2 linked regions of the Arabidopsis thaliana genome follow. The protein of the gene in region 2 interacts with the protein of the main gene of each other region in a pairwise test. Each region holds a gene or a part of one and is shown on either strand. Other genes may lie near its edges. The genes, in order: ABCC5 and AT3G61340.

The links.
Region 1: the proteins of AT3G61340 (region 2) and ABCC5 interact in a protein complementation assay, tested with the Arabidopsis thaliana proteins (one large-scale study listed by BioGRID).

What each region holds. Positions count from the first base shown.
Region 1 is NC_003070.9:1,064,867-1,072,872, reverse strand, and holds the start of ABCC5 (multidrug resistance-associated protein 5), read left to right. Parts: upstream 1-1,792; 5' UTR 1,793-2,185; intron 2,186-2,378; 5' UTR 2,379-2,476; coding exon 2,477-4,516; intron 4,517-4,625; coding exon 4,626-4,946; intron 4,947-5,023; coding exon 5,024-5,110; intron 5,111-5,322; coding exon 5,323-6,021; intron 6,022-6,101; coding exon 6,102-6,266; intron 6,267-6,347; coding exon 6,348-6,642; intron 6,643-6,723; coding exon 6,724-6,938; intron 6,939-7,017; coding exon 7,018-7,323; intron 7,324-7,429; coding exon 7,430-7,493; intron 7,494-7,578; coding exon 7,579-7,818; intron 7,819-7,912; coding exon 7,913-8,006. UniProt on the Arabidopsis thaliana protein: Pump for glutathione S-conjugates. Involved in regulation of K(+) and Na(+) cell content.
Region 2 is NC_003074.8:22,700,245-22,704,508, reverse strand, and holds AT3G61340 (F-box and associated interaction domains-containing protein), read left to right. Parts: upstream 1-1,978; 5' UTR 1,979-1,986; coding exon 1,987-3,294; 3' UTR 3,295-3,475; downstream 3,476-4,264. Other genes in the region: SKIP4 (SKP1 interacting partner 4), read right to left, coding at 135-729, 825-1,306.

The sequences.
Region 1 (8,006 bases), on a different chromosome or scaffold from region 2:
GATAAGACTTACAACAACTGAATATTTATAACTCGCAATTAGCCCTGTTAACATTCCAGGCAGTGCCTGCGTTTAAGCAACAATACAGAGGCTTCTTTTAGGTCATATGTCAACACCTAAAACAAATAGATAACATGTGAGAGAAATGTGTTAGGTATATTACACTATGATTAGTTCTTTTGTTAAAGGACCACGCACCACTATCATTATCCACGTTACACACGGTTTGAACTTAAAGAAGATCGCATGTTCCACTATCTTTTTTGTTGTTGTTTGTCCTCCTCAATTGAACAATTTGCATACGTAAGCGACATTTGGTTCATATACAGTGTTCATGAACTGAGCAACATATATACTGTTTTTTTTTCATCTAAGAAAAGCTACCTTTTTGAAATTTGTATTTATGCAAACGAAAGATAATGGAAAGTGAGCTGGCATGGACCGAAAGTGGTACAAAAAAAGTTTGAACAAAGCCATTACTATACCAAACAAACGCAAATGACAAAAACTACGCAGCATTAACAACTATATTACAATTGTCATTATTTATGTATAACATTATAATACACTATCAAGGCTTCTAGATTGTTACATCATCTCCTTAATTCTTCCAAGTTACATCATCATATATAGTTGAAATTAATTTCTATTATTCGTGAGAATATAAGTTGATTGGAAGAAGGAAGATTCAGTCTATATATATATTTGAAATACTATATGTGGAAGAACGTAGAATTCCCTATTGCGAACTAGAAATGTGTTGACGTACCGTGTATAACCAAATGTAATATATTAATCAAAGGACATATTAACGTACACATTTTTTACTGCATAGTCAGCAATAATTGACATTTAATCATACATGTATTAGAAAATGGTATGCCACGTAAGACGCATTACCTTGCATGAATGGCATGTGTAGTAAGTCGTCATCCGCATATTGTCCAAACAAACAAACAAATAAACACATACGGGCAAGAATTAAAAAAAAATCATCTTTTGTTGGTCTTATATAGTTGCTTATCTGAATAGTCTCACACTCTCTCACTTGAGAGCAAGAGTGCATGTAATTATACTATAGTATTAGTACATACGAACAATTTGGTGGTGAGTATAAGTTTGGATCTTTGGACTATATATAAAGTCATTAATTTCATACTCTTACGCTATTCTTTTATATCTTTTAATCAAGTTGACACATTTGTCTCATTGTTTTGGTGCAGAGATGATAGATTGGTTTTCTTTCTTTTATATATATGTATTGAAACGATAACGTGTATGTCTCCACTTTCTACAAATGAATTTTAAAAAGCTCAATGTGTATACATAGGAATTGATAAACCAGTGATTATATAGTATTTTGTAATATACTGACACCTATACAGTTTTATTTTAGTAATATTTGTAGCCTTGTAGACAATACATAATACTCATCACGTCACGTGTAGAATATTCCATGGACCGTATAAGGTTCCTCCTCCATTGTATCCCACAATTAATTAGACACAGCTTAGATTAGCAAAATGGTAATTTCTTTCGTTTGAGTTATGATTGGCGATTTCGTATAAAACGAATCGAGAGAATAAAAACGTAAAAGAATCGGAATATGATTCATTGCTTACCATGGTTAAGTTTAATGATAAGTGCTTTTATTGATAACATATATGGTCAAATAATACAATAATTTGATCATAAAGAGTAAAGACAATTGAAAAATGAAATCACCAAAAAAGTCAGATCACATACAGACACATTGACGCATCGACGTCAAGCATCGTGAGCGCACAAAGAGCTTACGGCTTTATTATTAACACACACACTAAGCAAAACAGTAAGTCCACGAGAAAGCATCCAAAAAGCCCAAAGGAACCACCTTTATTTTTTATTTTATTTTAGGCAAAGGAAGCTCCTTTATTAAATTCCCAATCTTCTTCCACTACTTTGCACAATCTTTAATCGATCCAACCAATAAATTTTGCATTTTTTTTCGTTGGCGAATGAAGGATTAGAGAGAAACAGAAGAAATTGTTAATTTTTTTCTTGTTGATTTTAATTAAAGAGAAGAGAGATCTCTCTTCTCGATTGCTCTCAAGAACCCAAGTGACGTCTGGTTTCAGCTGATTTGTTTCTTCTCATTCTCTATCTTCTTCTCTGGGAAATATCGATTTTGATCTATTAAGAGCTGGTGAGAGCCAAAGTTTCCTTTTTGTTTGTTTGTTTGTTTGTTTGTTGTTTGTATTTTTGTATCTCTGTGATCGCTTCTACGTGTTGGGTCATGCAGAGAAACTCATTTTGTTTTGATTTGCAATGTGTCAATTCCACTTTGAAATATAAGATTCATCGCCTCTCTCTCCTTTGTTTTTTTTCTTCTTCTGCAGCTACGAGCTTTGGGATGTGGTGAGATGCTTGTTCTATCTCGAACAATCCGCCGGTTGTTGATTTTAAACAAACTCTCTATCACAAATCTTTCCCGATCATGGATTTTATTGAGATCTCGTTGATCTTTCGAGAGCATTTGCCACTACTGGAACTATGTTCGGTCATCATCAACCTCCTACTCTTTCTTGTCTTTCTATTTGCTGTCTCCGCGAGGCAGATTCTCGTCTGCGTGAGAAGAGGCAGAGATAGGCTCTCTAAGGACGATACGGTTTCAGCTTCTAATCTTAGCTTGGAAAGAGAGGTTAACCATGTTAGTGTTGGGTTTGGGTTTAATCTGTCTTTGCTCTGTTGCTTATATGTGTTAGGCGTCCAAGTTTTGGTGTTAGTATATGATGGGGTTAAGGTTAGAAGAGAAGTCAGTGACTGGTTTGTTCTTTGCTTTCCAGCTTCTCAGAGTTTAGCTTGGTTTGTCCTTAGCTTCTTAGTTCTTCATTTGAAATACAAGTCTTCAGAGAAGCTACCCTTCTTGGTGAGGATATGGTGGTTCCTGGCGTTTTCGATTTGCCTCTGTACTATGTATGTCGATGGAAGAAGGCTAGCCATTGAAGGTTGGAGCAGATGTTCTTCTCATGTTGTCGCCAATTTAGCTGTTACACCTGCTCTTGGGTTTCTCTGCTTTCTGGCCTGGAGAGGCGTTTCTGGTATTCAAGTTACCAGAAGCTCCTCTGATCTTCAAGAGCCTTTGCTTGTTGAAGAAGAGGCAGCTTGTCTTAAAGTTACTCCATATAGTACTGCTGGGCTAGTTAGCCTTATTACGCTTTCATGGTTGGATCCACTTCTCTCGGCTGGTTCAAAAAGACCGCTTGAGCTTAAGGATATACCGCTTCTTGCACCAAGAGATAGAGCCAAATCAAGTTACAAGGTCTTGAAGTCGAATTGGAAGAGATGCAAGTCCGAGAATCCTTCAAAGCCTCCTTCTTTAGCTCGTGCAATTATGAAATCATTTTGGAAAGAAGCTGCTTGCAATGCCGTATTTGCTGGGTTGAATACTCTTGTGTCCTATGTCGGTCCTTACTTGATCAGCTACTTTGTTGATTATCTTGGAGGGAAGGAGATTTTCCCTCATGAAGGATACGTACTCGCTGGGATATTCTTTACGTCCAAGCTTATAGAGACAGTCACCACCCGCCAGTGGTATATGGGTGTTGATATCCTAGGGATGCATGTTAGATCAGCTCTTACAGCAATGGTATACCGAAAAGGTCTCAAACTTTCAAGTATAGCCAAGCAGAACCACACGAGCGGTGAAATTGTAAACTACATGGCAGTCGATGTCCAGCGCATAGGAGATTACTCATGGTATCTTCATGATATTTGGATGCTTCCGATGCAAATAGTTCTTGCTCTTGCAATCCTATATAAAAGCGTGGGCATAGCTGCTGTAGCTACATTGGTTGCTACAATAATCTCGATTCTTGTCACGATTCCACTCGCTAAGGTCCAGGAAGACTATCAAGATAAGTTGATGACTGCGAAAGATGAAAGAATGAGGAAAACCTCAGAGTGTCTTAGGAACATGAGAGTTCTGAAATTGCAGGCATGGGAAGATCGTTATAGAGTGAGATTGGAAGAAATGAGGGAAGAGGAGTATGGTTGGCTTCGCAAAGCCTTATATTCTCAGGCTTTTGTTACTTTTATCTTTTGGAGTTCCCCCATTTTTGTCGCCGCAGTTACATTCGCTACTTCGATATTTCTAGGCACTCAACTTACCGCTGGAGGTGTTCTTTCTGCTCTGGCGACATTCAGAATTCTTCAGGAGCCACTTCGGAACTTTCCTGATCTGGTTTCAATGATGGCTCAGACAAAGGTTTCTCTTGATAGGATTTCTGGGTTCTTGCAGGAGGAAGAACTTCAAGAAGATGCAACTGTTGTTATTCCACGGGGACTTTCGAATATAGCCATAGAGATTAAAGATGGTGTGTTTTGTTGGGACCCTTTTTCTTCAAGGCCGACATTATCTGGGATTCAGATGAAAGTGGAGAAGGGTATGCGTGTGGCTGTCTGTGGCACAGTTGGCTCTGGAAAATCAAGTTTTATCTCTTGCATCCTAGGGGAAATCCCAAAAATCTCTGGCGAAGTAAGTTAATGTTTTGGGGTGTTTGTCTCAATTGCTTCACTATTTTTTCTTTTCTTTTCTTATATTCACTTAGCTATCATTGATCCAACTGCTGATAATTGTTATATAGGTTAGAATATGTGGTACTACTGGTTATGTGTCTCAATCGGCTTGGATTCAGTCTGGTAACATTGAAGAAAACATTCTATTTGGCAGTCCAATGGAGAAAACAAAGTACAAGAATGTGATACAAGCATGTTCCCTAAAGAAAGATATAGAGCTTTTCTCACATGGGGACCAAACTATTATCGGGGAGAGAGGTATAAATCTCAGCGGAGGTCAGAAACAGCGTGTACAACTTGCAAGGGCATTATATCAAGATGCTGACATTTATTTACTAGACGACCCTTTTAGTGCTCTTGATGCACACACTGGCTCTGATTTGTTTAGGGTAAGAAGCTATTCAAGTCATGTTTTCATATTTTGAGTTTGAACGTTTGCGTAACACGGTTATTAATGGCTATACAGGATTATATTCTATCTGCATTGGCTGAGAAAACTGTGGTTTTTGTAACGCATCAAGTTGAGTTTCTCCCTGCAGCTGATCTAATATTGGTAAGAAACTCTTTTTTCTCGGTTTTACTACACATTAATTCTGGCTACTGTTGGTCCTTTTAGAATTGCTAAAGGGTCTCTTTTAGGTGTTTAGCTTACCAGCCTGTGATGAACTTATCTCTATTGTTGCAGAAAGGTAAAATTGTTGAAGGAGTTTCCAAACTGTTTCCGTTATGATAAGCTCTGAAATATTTATTTGTGTTGTTTCAAAGGTTCTGAAGGAAGGCAGGATTATTCAATCGGGTAAATATGATGATCTGCTGCAAGCAGGTACTGATTTTAAGGCCTTAGTGTCTGCCCACCATGAAGCAATCGAGGCAATGGACATCCCAAGTCCCTCCTCAGAAGACTCTGATGAAAATCCTATTCGCGATAGTTTGGTCTTGCATAATCCAAAGTCTGATGTTTTTGAAAATGACATCGAGACTTTGGCAAAGGAAGTACAAGAGGGAGGATCTGCTTCAGATCTAAAGGCAATCAAAGAGAAGAAGAAGAAAGCTAAGCGTTCCCGCAAAAAGCAGCTTGTTCAAGAAGAGGAACGAGTAAAGGGAAAAGTCAGCATGAAGGTGTACTTGTCATACATGGGTGCTGCATATAAAGGGGCTCTGATTCCTCTTATTATACTCGCACAAGCTGCTTTCCAATTTCTTCAGATTGCTAGTAATTGGTGGATGGCTTGGGCAAATCCTCAAACTGAAGGTGACGAATCTAAAGTGGATCCTACTCTGCTTCTCATCGTTTATACGGCTTTAGCTTTCGGGAGCTCTGTGTTCATATTTGTTCGAGCTGCTCTGGTTGCAACTTTTGGTCTTGCAGCTGCACAGAAACTGTTCTTAAATATGCTCAGAAGTGTGTTCCGAGCGCCAATGTCATTCTTTGATTCCACTCCTGCAGGAAGAATTTTGAATCGGGTATGTAGATGTGGTATTATAACCAAATTCCACAGTTTCTGTGTTACTTTTCTGATTTTGGGGATTTTATTGATGTGCAGGTTTCTATTGATCAAAGTGTTGTAGATCTTGACATTCCTTTTAGACTCGGTGGGTTTGCTTCAACAACAATACAACTCTGTGGCATTGTCGCTGTAATGACCAATGTTACCTGGCAAGTTTTCCTTCTTGTTGTTCCGGTAGCTGTTGCTTGCTTTTGGATGCAGGTAAATCTATTTTCGATTTTTCCTCTGAATAACTGTGAAAGATTGTTTTCGTAATTTAGTTTATATTGAAATAAAATGCAGAAATATTACATGGCTTCTTCAAGAGAATTGGTTCGGATAGTTAGTATCCAGAAGTCTCCAATAATTCATCTTTTTGGAGAATCAATTGCTGGTGCTGCCACAATAAGAGGATTTGGCCAGGAAAAAAGATTTATCAAAAGGAATCTTTATCTTCTAGATTGTTTTGTTCGACCTTTCTTCTGCAGTATCGCTGCTATCGAATGGCTTTGTTTACGCATGGAATTACTTTCCACACTTGTATTTGCTTTCTGTATGGTTTTACTCGTCAGTTTTCCACATGGAACCATTGATCCAAGTAAGTATCTCTAGTTACTATAACAAAAAAAGCATCAACGAGCAGCCGGTTTTTCTAATATTGATGTTCCTGTTGTAATAGGCATGGCAGGTCTTGCTGTGACATATGGACTTAACTTGAATGGACGTCTATCACGATGGATACTTAGCTTTTGTAAGCTTGAAAACAAAATAATCTCAATCGAAAGGATTTATCAGTACAGTCAGATTGTAGGAGAGGCCCCAGCAATTATAGAAGATTTCCGCCCGCCTTCCTCGTGGCCTGCAACGGGAACAATTGAGCTAGTTGATGTTAAGGTACTATTCAAAAATACTATTTTTATTACCTCTCTGCACTTCCTTTCCCTGCTTTCTTATTGCTTCGTTCTTTTCGAAGGTTCGTTATGCTGAGAATCTTCCAACAGTACTCCATGGGGTGAGCTGTGTGTTTCCGGGTGGAAAAAAGATTGGGATTGTTGGGCGAACGGGAAGCGGAAAGTCGACTTTGATTCAAGCTTTGTTTCGATTGATTGAGCCAACTGCTGGAAAAATTACTATTGACAACATTGACATTTCTCAAATTGGTCTTCATGATCTTCGTAGTCGCCTTGGGATTATACCTCAAGATCCTACATTATTTGAAGGAACAATCCGAGCAAATCTTGACCCACTTGAAGAACATTCAGATGATAAAATCTGGGAGGTATCTATAAATATGTTGTTTGATACTCTTATCTTGTTTATGTTTTAGACACTAAACTCTGAGATTTGGAGTTTGATTCTAGAGATTTACCCAACTTTGCTGACAGGCGCTTGATAAATCCCAGCTTGGAGACGTTGTTAGAGGAAAAGACCTAAAACTTGACTCTCCAGGTAACTATTTACATCAAAAGTCCTCTCTTTTTCCCGGGTCTTTTTCGCTTCTTTCTACTGATTTTTTTGGCTCAAAACCGAGTAGTACTGGAAAATGGAGATAACTGGAGTGTAGGGCAGAGACAGCTTGTGTCACTTGGACGAGCATTACTGAAACAAGCCAAAATACTTGTTCTTGATGAAGCAACAGCATCGGTTGACACAGCAACAGACAATCTGATCCAGAAGATAATCAGAACAGAGTTTGAAGACTGCACGGTCTGCACCATTGCTCACCGGATACCAACTGTTATAGACAGTGACCTAGTTTTGGTTCTCAGCGACGGTTAGTCTCATACAAATTAAAAACATGGATCTTTCTTCATATTACTCGTCGTCTTTTGGGAGAATTCAATGTTTATGTTTATGGTTTGTTGCAGGTAGAGTAGCAGAGTTTGATACTCCTGCACGGCTATTAGAAGACAAATCATCGATGTTCTTGAAATTGGTAACAGAATACTCCTCAAGATCTAC
Region 2 (4,264 bases):
GTTTATGAATCAGGAAGACAATAATTTGTGTGATTCAGACAAGCTTGTGAATTTACATGAACAACAGAAACAGCATATGTTGTTTACAAGGACGAAGAATTTTGAGCCAAGAGAAAAGTAGAGAGAGCTAGACATTATATGGCTACAGATTTACAGCTAATAACATCTATATCATCATCCCAAGTCTTTGGTATAGAAGAACACACCATTACTCCATTCATCTTATTCTTCCTCACATTCTCAACATCAATTACCACAGTAGAGCAATCCTTACCAATCACAAAGATACTATTCCCAATAGATACAAGCCGACAAGGCTGCTTCATCACCAATTGAGATAGCTTCCCGATATGAATCCACATTCTCGTATCCTTGCACCACATTGTTAGCTTAGCTCCAAAAGTCTGATCCAAAACATAGAGATCACCTGCCACAACAACTGCTGGACCTCGCCATCCTGATGCCATATCATCATCCATACGTTCCCAAATCCCGCTAGATGCACTATAGACTGCAGTGGAAGATCCTCCAACACCACCCCGAATATAAATCCTTCCATCCATTACAAATGAATCTTCCATTTCAGGGACAATATTCACATCAGAACAAGATTTGCAGGTTCTGGTCAAAGGATCATAGATGTCCCAAGTTCGTTTAGCGTTTGGATTCAATCCTAACCCACCAATTGCAATAATTTTTCCATCCAGCGTTTCACAAGCAAAGTAGCATCTGCATATGCAATCGAAATATCAAGGGCTGGAAAGAACAATATCGAGCTGGTTGCTGCTAATGGCAAGATTAAGAATCCTGAGAAATATTAGTACCTTTTAGTTGAAAGAGGAGGTACTACGTCAAACCAAGTGTTCATAGCAGCATCATAGCAATAAATCTCATCAGTAGCATCTTCTAACCAACCACATCCACCCAACACAAACAGTCTCTTACCCAATACTGCAAAACCCATGCCTTCTCTCATTGGGATATATGGATAATCATTGATTCTTTTCCATGACCTTCTGGACGAGAACGGATTCAGCATGTGTAAGAAGACACCGCCAGATATGTCGCGGCACAACGCGTAAATCCAAGATTCAGCCAAGTTAAACTCGTTTCGATAGTCGCACATTTCATCACTGCACACAAAATCTCTCCATCTCCTTGAAACACATTTCATTGCCATGTGATATTCTCTTGGAACTCTAGCTAAGCAGGATTTTGAGATATCATCAGGAACTCCGCTTATAAGTGCAATTTGTGTCTCATTTGATTGACCTGCACGTTGTGGATCCTCTACTATACACGCCATTGTGAATTGATTCTACAAAATCCTGTTCATGACCAAAAGAGAGACAAACACTGGCTCAGATATGGCTAATCCCTATACTAACTTAAAGTAGCAATTCACATAAGTGGCCTTTGTGATCAAGAGCAGCATTAATCAAGATATTTGAAGATAAACAAGAGCATTGCCATAACAACAAATCAAACATTCAAAGATGAAGAAACAGATCGAATTCCAACAAGTACAGATCCAATGTCAAACCAAATTATTTAACTCTCACAGTCCACTGATCAAACCCGTCAGCAATTACATCAAATCCACTACACATACAATCAGATCTACAACTCCAGCAATAAATAAATAAATAAAATCAGAATCGAAACAGATCTTAAATCGTCTCAGAAGAAACGAGACTGAGGAAAAAGTAAGAAATAAGATGAGAAATTGAGAGGAATCTAGAAGAAGTTACCTTCAGGGCACGTCGCAAGGAACAGTAGAGTATATTCCGTTTGTGAGCTTCCCGGCGAAGAAGAAGACGATCACTTTCTTCTAAGAAACCACAACGGCATCGTTTTGAATCGTCAGCTCATTTTTTAATTATTTTGCAGCCATACCCTCATACTATTAATTTTATACATGTAGGCATTTATATTCTCATTTAAATCAGAAAGACCCAGGATCTTGAGAGACACGTTTTAAGCGTTATGATTATTATTAGGTTTAATCAGACGGAAGGGAGAAAAAAAGTCATTAGGGTTTTAAGAGAAGCCGCCTCCACCATGATGACACGGCGCAAGAAACGATCTTGTTCGAATCAAAAGAAAGAAGAAGAGAAATCCGAACGGATCCCGTTCGATCTCGTAATCGAGATACTCTTGAGATTGCCTGTCAAGTCTATAGCTAGATTTCGTTACGTATCGAAGCTATGGCAGTCCACATTGCGAGGTCAGCATTTCACCGAGTCCTACTTGACCATATCTTCGTCTCGTCCGAAGATCTTGTTTACATGCCTAAAAGACTGCGAAACGTTCTTCTTCTCATCACCACATCCTCAAGATCTGTCTCCTATAGCCGCAAATTTGCATATGAGTTTCCCGATTAGCTGTCCCTCTAATATTTGTCGTCCTGTTCGTGGCTGGTTATGTGGTTTACATCAACGAACTACAAAGGGAACGACGGTTACTGAGCCATTGATATGTAACCCTAGCACAGGGGAATCCGTGGTCTTACGTAAAGTGAAAACAAGGAGGAAAGGAGTGATAAGCTTTTTGGGGTTTGATCCGATCGACAAAAATTTCAAAGTATTATGCATGACGCGTTCATGTATAGGACGAGCTGATTCTGAAGAGCATCAAGTTCACACGTTAGAAACCGGGAAGAAACCGTCAAGGAAAATGATCGAATGTGACATACTACATTATCCTGTTCCTGTGGAGCATACTAATGGCTTTTCTCAATATGATGGGGTATGCATCAATGGTGTTTTGTATTACTTAGCCATTGTCCATGGTGTTTCTGACGACAGGTATCCTGATGTAGTATGCTTTGAGTTTGGATCTGACAAATTCAAATATATCAAGAAAGTTGCTGGTCATGACATGGAAATATTGTACTTGGGAAGGCGGCTGAATTCAATTCTAGTAAACTACAAGGGTAAATTAGCTAAGCTTCAGCCCAACATGCCTAACAACGTATGCACCGGTATTCAACTATGGGTTCTTGAAGACGCGGAGAAACACGAATGGTCAAGTCATATCTACGTTTTGCCTCCTCCGTGGAGGAATGTATATGAAGAGACCAAGTTATGTTTCGTTGGAACGACTCGTAAAGGTGAAATTGTGTTGTCCCCAAACACTATATCCGACTTTTTCTACCTTCTCTATTACAATCCCGATAGGAACACTATCACTATAGTTAAAATCAAAGGAATGGAAACTTTTCAGAGTCACAAAGCTTACACCTTTCTTGACCATTTAGAGGATGTTAACCTTGTACCCATTTGGAGGATGTGAAGCTTGTGTCAAAGTTTTCAGGATTTTGGGCTCGTATAACATAGCCCGTTTATTATTTTCTCAGATTACTTTTATGTTCTAGTGATGGTATTCGTCTTTTATTTCATACACTTGTAAGACATGGTTGTTTTAAGCTCAAATACTTTGCTATTTATAAAATTTCACGAGCAATCAGACTTTGGGAATTGTGTCTGATATTTAATAAGCAAACTACAATAGAGCTAACGAATTTGTACCACCCCTCAAAACCCTAGTTTATTTATATCCTTTTTAATTTTTGGTAATATGAGTTCTATATAAGATTTTTGGTAATTTTTAGTTTCCGAGATTGTAGATGAATAATAGACATACACTTCTGAGTCATGGTTGCTTTTGGCTCAAGTTTTGTAGCTTTTTAAAACTCTTCTTTTCATGAGCAGTTTTGCCAATTATCTTAGATGAGTTTCATATTCTTATTCATTTAGGTGCAATAACAACATTACAACAAGGCTAAAGAATTAGTTTCAAGAGATAGTAAATGGATTCTAAATAAAGCAAATATGGTATAACTGGCTTCCTGACCCAAACTATGACTTATGTAAAAGTGTAAAAAGTTGAATCTGCATATTATATATACAACATAAACATATACAAAAGGAAGATATACAAACGTTTACCTATCAACTGGTATAAAGTGTTGTATCTTCTATACGATGTTGAAAGTTAAACTTGATTTTGAATCAAGTTTAATTATTGGATCAATTATCCAATAATTAATTATGGCCAAATCCAAGTTCTAGAGTTTTCTCTAGAAATATCATCATTTCCACCTCCTTAAAAGATTCTAGAAATTTTCTAGAATCATCTTCCACCTCCTTAAACATAAAAATCTAGATACTCTAATAGAATAATCTAGATAATTTGAATAATGTAATCTAGATCTTATGTAAGAACTCTCTAGACTTAGGATTAAAATATTTTAGATATTTTG